Linked DNA regions of Xenopus tropicalis. The protein of the gene in region 1 interacts with the protein of each later gene in a pairwise test. Links are inferred from orthologs where the notes say so. Each region holds a gene or a part of one and is shown on either strand. Other genes may lie near its edges. The genes, in order: cnksr1 and cyth3.

Region 1 (3,829 bases):
TAGTATAGCACACATAGGCAGGGGAGGGCAGGCAGAGTATGGCACACACAGGCAGGGTAGGGCAAGCAGTACTCTGCCTGCTGTATGCCTCCCTTATGCTGCTGTGTGTGCCTTTCTTTTCGTATGTTGCCTGTGTGTTCCTTACTCTGCCTGCCCTATGCTGCCCATGTGTGCCATACTCTCCCTGCCCTATGCTGCCTGTGGGAGGTGAACCTGGTTTGTTCTGGGAGTTTGTTAGCAGTTTGAAATAGTCATTACATGGTCCCTAAAGTGTGTAATTATATGCTGGTGGTTGCTGTGCTATCCACAGAAGAGGAGGAGGCATATGGATTTAAGTGTATGTCTTAATATGACATAATATAATTCTTTCACATATGAATGAAGGGTAATATCCCTTCAGTGAGCACCAACCATTGGGTTTTTGCTGTGTTGCCACCATTAATGTGGGGATGGTCTTAAAAGCTCTTGTGATAACATGGGTGCGGTTTAAAAAAGGGGAGTGGTCAAAACTGGCTTCCATTATCGGCCCTCCACCATGTAGGCCAGAAAAATTCCGGCCCTCGGTACCACAGAAGTTGGACAGCACTGCTCTAGAGGAATATGAGGTGGTGGGTCGTGATAGAGGAACCCAAAAGGTTTGGGTTGCATGGGTATCTGTAATTTAAGTGGCTTATGATTACTGCCTTTGGGAAGCAGTTAAACAACTTTGTAATGGCCAGCCACCCTTTACATTAATACTGGGCTATATTGTATGCAATAATGTAATAACATAGTTGTAGCACAACATTTTTTGTTAAGCACATCAAAGGTGCCCTAGGCTTGGAGATTTCTTGGAGATGCCTTATGGGTTTTGCAGAGTTTCTTCATTTTTCATTACAGGTGGGTGACCAGTCTTCTAGCTGCACTAAACATACATAAAACAGCATCTTCTGCTACTCAAGCACACGAAGAAGGTATTTGTGTCCTGATATTGTAAAGACATCTGTATATATGGCTATGGTTTTATATTTCTTGTTAGAGAAACATAATTGCTGTTCTTAGTAAAGGCTAGTTTGTGCAGCCTCATGCTGCTGTTGTTAGATATACAGTGGTGTGAAAAACTATTTCTGATTTCTAATCCTGATTTCTTATTCTTTTGCATGTTTGTCACACTTAAATGTTTCTGCTCATCAAAAACCGTTAACTATTAGTCAAAGATAACATAATTGAACACAAAATGCAGTTTTTAAATGAAGGTTTACGTTATTAAGGGAGAAAAAAACTCCAAATCTACATGGCACCTGTTTCAATCAAGAAATCACTTAAATAGGAGCTACCTGACACAGAGAAGTAGACCAAAAGCACCTCAAAAGCTAGACATCATGCCAAGATCCAAAGAAATTGAGGAACAAATGAGAACAAAAGTAATTGAGATCTATCAGTCTGGTAAAGGTTATAAAGCCATTTCTAAAGCTTTGGGACTCCAGCGAACCACAGTGAGAGCCATTATCCACAAATGGCAAAAACATGGAACAGTGGTGAACCTTCCCAGGATTGGCCGGCCGACCAAAATTACCCCAAGGGCGCAGAGACAACTCATCCGAGAGGCCACAAAAGACCCCAGGACAACATCTAAAGAACTGCAGGCCTCACTTGCCTTAATTAAGGTCAGTGTTCACGACTCCACAAGAAAGAGACTGGTCATAAACGGCCTGCATGGCAGATTTCCAAGGCGCAAACCACTTTTAAGCAAAAAGAACATTATGGCTTGTCTCAATTTTGCTAAAAAACATCTCAATGATTGCCAAGACTTTTGGGAAAATACCTTGTGGACCGACGAGACAAAAGTTGAACTTTTTGGAAGGTGCGTGTCCCGTTACATCTGGCGTAAAAGTAACACAGCATTTCAGAAAAAGAACATCATACCAACAGTAAAATATGGTGGTGGTAGTGTGATGGTCTGGGGTTGTTTTGCTGCTTCAGGACTTGTAAGGCTTGCTGTGATAGATGGAACCATGAATTCTACTGTCTACCAAAAAATCCTGAAGGAGAATGTCTGGCCATCTGGCCAACTCAAGCTGAAGCGATCTTGGGTGCTGCAGCAGGACAATGACCCAAAACACACCAGCAAATCCACCTCTGAATGGCTGAAGAAAAACAAAATGAAGACTTTGGAGTGGCCTAGTCAAAGTCCTGACCTGAATCCTATTGAGATGTTGTGGCATGACCTTAAAAAGGCGGTTCATGCTAGAAAACCCTCAAATTAAGCTGAATTACAACAATTCTGCAAAGATGAGTGGGCCAAAATTCTTCCAGAGCGCTGTAAAAGACTCGTTGCAAGTTATCGCAAACGCTTGATTGCAGTTATTGCTGCTAAGGGTGGCCCAACCAGTTATTAGGTTCAATTACTTTTTCACACAGGGTTTGGATTTTTTTTCTCCCTAAATAATAAAAACCCTCATTTAAAAACTGCATTTTGTGTTTACTTGTGTTATCTTTGACTAATAGTTAAATGTGTTTGATGATCAGAAACATTTTATGTGACAAACATGCAAAAGAATAAGAAATCAGGAAAGGGGCAAATAGTTTTTCACACCACTATATACCGTATTTTTCGGACCATAAGACGCACCGGACCATAAGACGCACCAGTTTTTAGAGAAGGGAAATGAAGAAAAAAAGATTCTGAAACAAATACTGTCCTAAAATATTTTATGTGCATTAAAAGCGAACCTGTACCAGCAGCACCCAACATATTGCCCCCCACCTGTACCAGCAGCACCCAACATATTGCCCCCATCTGTACCAGCATATAGCCTACAGATATACTTTAAAAAAATGTTTTTACTTGCCCGTGTGGTCTCCGTGCAGGGCCCTCCTCTATTCACCGGCGCTTAGCTGTGGCGCTGTGCGCATGCACAATGACGCACATGCGTTGTGCATGCGCACAGAGCCACAGCTAAGCGCCGGTGAATAGAGGAGGGCCCTGCACGGAGACCACACGGGCAAGTAAAAACATTTTTTTAAAGTATATTCGGACCATAAGACGCAGGGACTTTTCCCCCCCACTTCTGGGGGAAAAAAAGTGCGTCTTATGGTCCGAAAAATACGGTATATATATATACATAAAGAAAAATGTCGGCACTCACAGGGTTTCCATATAAAGGCAAAAAATAAACAGCTTTTAAATACAAACGGTGATGTTTATTCTTTCCAACGTTTCATACACGGACTTTCGTCAGGGAAACCCTGTGAGTGCCGACATTTTTCTTTATGTATCTAAAACCTCTAGCTCGAGCACCCAGGTATTGGAATTTTGAAGGTGTGCTCCCCAATCCTACACTTATATATATATATATACATCTAAGAAGCTGGCACTCACGTTTAAGTCCAAAAAATCATGCCTGGGTGCAGTACCGGAATATGGAATATACAAAATAATGCTGGAAGGAACCGCTCTCACAGGTCTTAGTCATCCATAAAGAACTTTATTGAGATAGGCACGACAACTATATCTATCTATCTATATCTATAAAAATATATATATTTTTTTTTTAGACTGTTACAGTGAAACTGAGGCTGAAGATCTGGATGAAGATCACTCAAAAACACAGGAGGTGGTAAGAGAACAGTACAATTGCTCATTTTATCTTCAACCCATGCTACTAATTGTCCCAGCTCTACTTTTATACCACCCTTCCAATTTCAAACTTTGTATGTCAGGTAAAGACTCCACTGACACATGTACAGAGCCAGAATATCTCAAGTTCACCAACAACCAGTGAAGAAAGCAACACTTCTGAAAGTGGGCAAATTCTGAAAGAAAGTGATGTTCAACCTGCAAGTAAGC
Region 2 (3,829 bases), on another chromosome or scaffold:
AGTAAAGTGCAACCCCACCCAGCTGAGTGAGGATGCCGGGCGTTGCACTTCTGTAGCTGAAAGGCTCTCCTTTGATATGCTGGCTTAATGATTGCTGGAAAGCAAATATTTGGCAAAAAAAATGACACACAGGCTACTACAAACAAATCCAAATTAAAGTTCAGAAGAAGCCACACAAGGACTATTAAAGGAAAGGTGCCTGTTTGTGAGAAACTCAGGCCCCCCTTGTAGTACATAGTGTGCAAATAGTGGTGTATGTACATGGCCAGCCTGCATTATTGAAGGTGTTCTAATGAGATGGCTCTTTGTTTTTTAGGTGGAAGAGTTAAAACTTGGAAGCGCAGGTGGTTTATCCTGACTGATAACTGTCTCTATTATTTTGAATACACAACAGTAAGTATGAAGGTTAAACCCTGTGAAGCAGACATGTAATAAATGGCACGAAGGGCCACATGGGTAGAATTATTTGAGTTTGGCTATGGGGGAGTACACTTCACAGAGGTTACTTAACACCTTGAACCATTTTAATGCCCACTACGACAGCCACCATCATGCCTTGCAAGACTTCCCAGTTTCCCTTAGGGTACATTGGAACCTAGAAACTGAAGCACTGAAGTTTGGTCCTTGATAGACAGCACCATGGATTTTATATTCTGGGGCTAGAAAATGGCTCATCAGCCATTTCTTTACAGACTAAGGGACTAACCATTGGTCATATTCTTTTCACTGAAGCGGTACCTGTTTTCCATGCTGAAATGATTTGTCCAGCTCCCAAAATAGTTTTCTGGATTATTAATCCCTGTATGCATTTTTCATTGGGATTAACCAGGGCTTTGGGCATTAGGTCTCAGTGCTGCTGCTGAACTCAGGGCCAGGGCAAGATCTCCTCTTAGATTGTACTACCCTCAGAAAACACAGAAATGATTGTTGTAGAGCTAAATTAAAATAACAGGGTCTTCCTTTTCTGGGGTTTGCTTCATGCAAAAGTTAAAGCAGATAAAAGGACTGATGGTCTGTACCACCTTAGTGGTATGATAAAGGGCAGCACAAGTCTGGTGGGGGTGGGGGCAGCCTCGGCTAGTAAACCACTGGTGGGCCCTGGAACACTAATGTGATTGGCTTCTCATAGCATGCAGACTAATTGACGTGTCATCAGCATTGATAAATGCATCTTTTTTTTCTTCCTGCCAGTCATTAAGGTTTTGATCAATTGGAATTAAAATAATGCTTCTGGGTTCCCCAGATCAGCCTTAAATAAATAAACCCCATGAAAAGTATAAAAACATAAAAGCTTATGTGGTTCTGTTCACCTAAAATGGAGGAATATAACTTTGATCTGACATCTAAAGAAGCAGCATAGTGTTGCTAGTGGGTTGTGGGACAGTAGCCAGATTGTGGTCACTCATGGAAATTATATTCTTGGGTTTTGTTTGAAAACAGGCAAAATACAGCATTGATATTGCAAGCGCCCCCCCCCCCCCCCCCCCCCCCCCCCCACACACACACAGCCCCCTTTCTTCACAACAGAGCAAGCAGGTGCTGAAATTCTATCCTAACTTACAAAAGCCGACCCTCTGTTCTTTTAAACTGTGTGACAAATTGCATGTCATAGACTGCCATTAATTGCTCTCTGTGTATATCATAACTTTAAGGTCAGTAATAACATTTATGGGCCCAGTTGGTAGCCCCCTCCCTTTACTGCCCAGATCTGAAGGCCACACAGAGCACCTGCCCAATACTCTGCAGTGTGTTCATGTAATGAAGCCATCAAACAGGGCTAAAAGTTTCGCAAGGAAACTCTGTTATAAAACCAGAGATGGGAACATTGGACAGTTCTACACTACATGCAATTTTGCATGGAAATTTGGGCTTACTCTTTGCACTTTGTCTTTTTCGTTTACCTACAACACCTCTGCCTCATTTTGGGGACATTATGCCTTTGAATTGGCTTTAATGCTTACACAAATGAGAACCCCTAGCCTTCCAGGAAGAAAAAAAATTGTTCTCTTTGTTCTGTGTAATTCAGTGGTACCCAAAAAAATGGTCCCCATTGTTGTTAATTTTATACTGGGTCACAAAACCAAATCTCAGACTTAATTAAGTGATCTAATGGGTGAGGATACAATTGTAATTCACATGTTTTGTTCTTACTTTGTTGGTTATTAAAAGTGGTTAATTTTATTCCACAAGAGTAGCCTGTTTGCAGAGAGCTCTTTACATTTCCCCAGAATCTCCCATCTATATTCAGTGGGTGAATATAGATGGAAGATTCTCATTAGTGTCTTATAACAAACGTCATTGTGTCCGGCCTGATGGGGGTGTTATTGATTCCTGCTACAGCAACAGATGCCTCCAGTGTATATGCACTCAATCATGTCTGCATTCCAATCAGGCTCCTTACAACTGGATGCCTGTGATTTAATAATGGCATTGGCTTCATCAGTTTTGTAATATATTGGCTTGGCTGACACACCCAGGGTAACACCACATATAGGTAATGCCTTGACTGCTTTCTCTGTATTTTTCTTTGCCACCTTTCCTACTACACCCCCCATCCTTAATTTTAGCTGGAGCACAGACACGCCATGATTCATATGGCATGGATGCCTCTCCATTATAACTCAGGGGGGTAAGGCAACGTAGAAATCAAGAAAAAAGGTGGGAATGGCACAAAAGAAGGCATTCCTTCGGTGGTGACCTGACAGAATCAGATACTGCACAGATACAAATCTTTTCTGGGATAGACTCACCAGGCAGTTTTGAAATATGGCCAATGATATCCAGATTTCCCCATATATAAATAAATAACAAATATTTAAATGATGTATAGGAATCTTTATCCTGGCTTTTTCTCTTATATATGAGCATCTGGTGGGAGATTATTACCATAATCCCTTTTACAACAAGTCCAGTGTTGGAATGCCAGCCCTAGGGGGATTATTTTTCCTTTAAAGGACAAGTCAACCCAGAATATAATGTTTTGCCTAATAAAAGAAAACCAAATTCTTAGTAACTTTGCAATATACATTAATTACAAATTTGTAATGTTTTTGAGTTATTTGTATATATACACAGACCCCAATGGATGATCCACTCAGCATGTGGATGAACAAATTGGTCCCAGATCTGCTTGTTTGGCAGCCTCACCAAATGAATGGATCTGGCCACCTTAAGACTTGAATTACTAATATGTATAGGTGGTGTATACTTGTGTTAAAGTGTTAATCTTTTAAGCACTTTTGGCTGGTTCCTAAGCTGTCTGTGCTTTAAATCTGGTACATTTGTGTGCCTGCTAAACAAGAGATTTGTCTGTGTGTATTGGTTCATTCCGCAGCCATGGGCTACCTAAATATCTGACTTTTACTTTGGTATATATGCTTTCAAAATGTTCCACTAACTCTGCACAATGTGTATAAAATAAAAATGTTGCTTTTTAATCTGTATAATTTTGGGGGTTCGGTGAGACTTTCTCCTTTTGTACACTTTTCCTTTTCAGAAGATTTTTCCTTTGACAATCTCATCTGCTGTATCTCTGTCTACCCCTAGTGGTTAGTAAAGTAGTTGCACTACGTTCCTTCTGTTTCTCCTCATTAAGATTTTATCTTTTGATCAACAGGATAAAGAACCAAGAGGTATAATTCCTTTGGAAAACCTTAGTATTAGAGAAGTTGAAGATCCTCGAAAGCCAGTAAGATTTCTTTCTCTTAAATTAATATATACTTAGATTGTAAGCTCTACGGGGGAAGGGACCTCCTTTCTACTGTGTCTCATACCACATGGCACTTATTCCCTATGCATTTATATATATTTATTGTATTTATTATAACAC

What was found.
Region 2: the proteins of cnksr1 (region 1) and cyth3 interact in binary tests that used the Homo sapiens proteins (3 or more experiments, as listed by UniProt). The two-hybrid records come from large-scale screens. The link is inferred for Xenopus tropicalis from reciprocal best matches to the Homo sapiens genes CNKSR1 and CYTH3.

What each region holds. Positions count from the first base shown.
Region 1 is NC_030678.2:76,996,377-77,000,205, forward strand, and holds part of cnksr1 (connector enhancer of kinase suppressor of ras 1), read left to right. Parts: intron 1-879; coding exon 880-953; intron 954-3,537; coding exon 3,538-3,599; intron 3,600-3,702; coding exon 3,703-3,823; intron 3,824-3,829. UniProt on the Homo sapiens protein: May function as an adapter protein or regulator of Ras signaling pathways.
Region 2 is NC_030685.2:25,420,671-25,424,499, forward strand, and holds part of cyth3 (cytohesin-3), read left to right. Parts: intron 1-316; coding exon 317-393; intron 394-3,616; coding exon 3,617-3,688; intron 3,689-3,829. UniProt on the Homo sapiens protein: Promotes guanine-nucleotide exchange on ARF1 and ARF6. Promotes the activation of ARF factors through replacement of GDP with GTP. Plays a role in the epithelial polarization.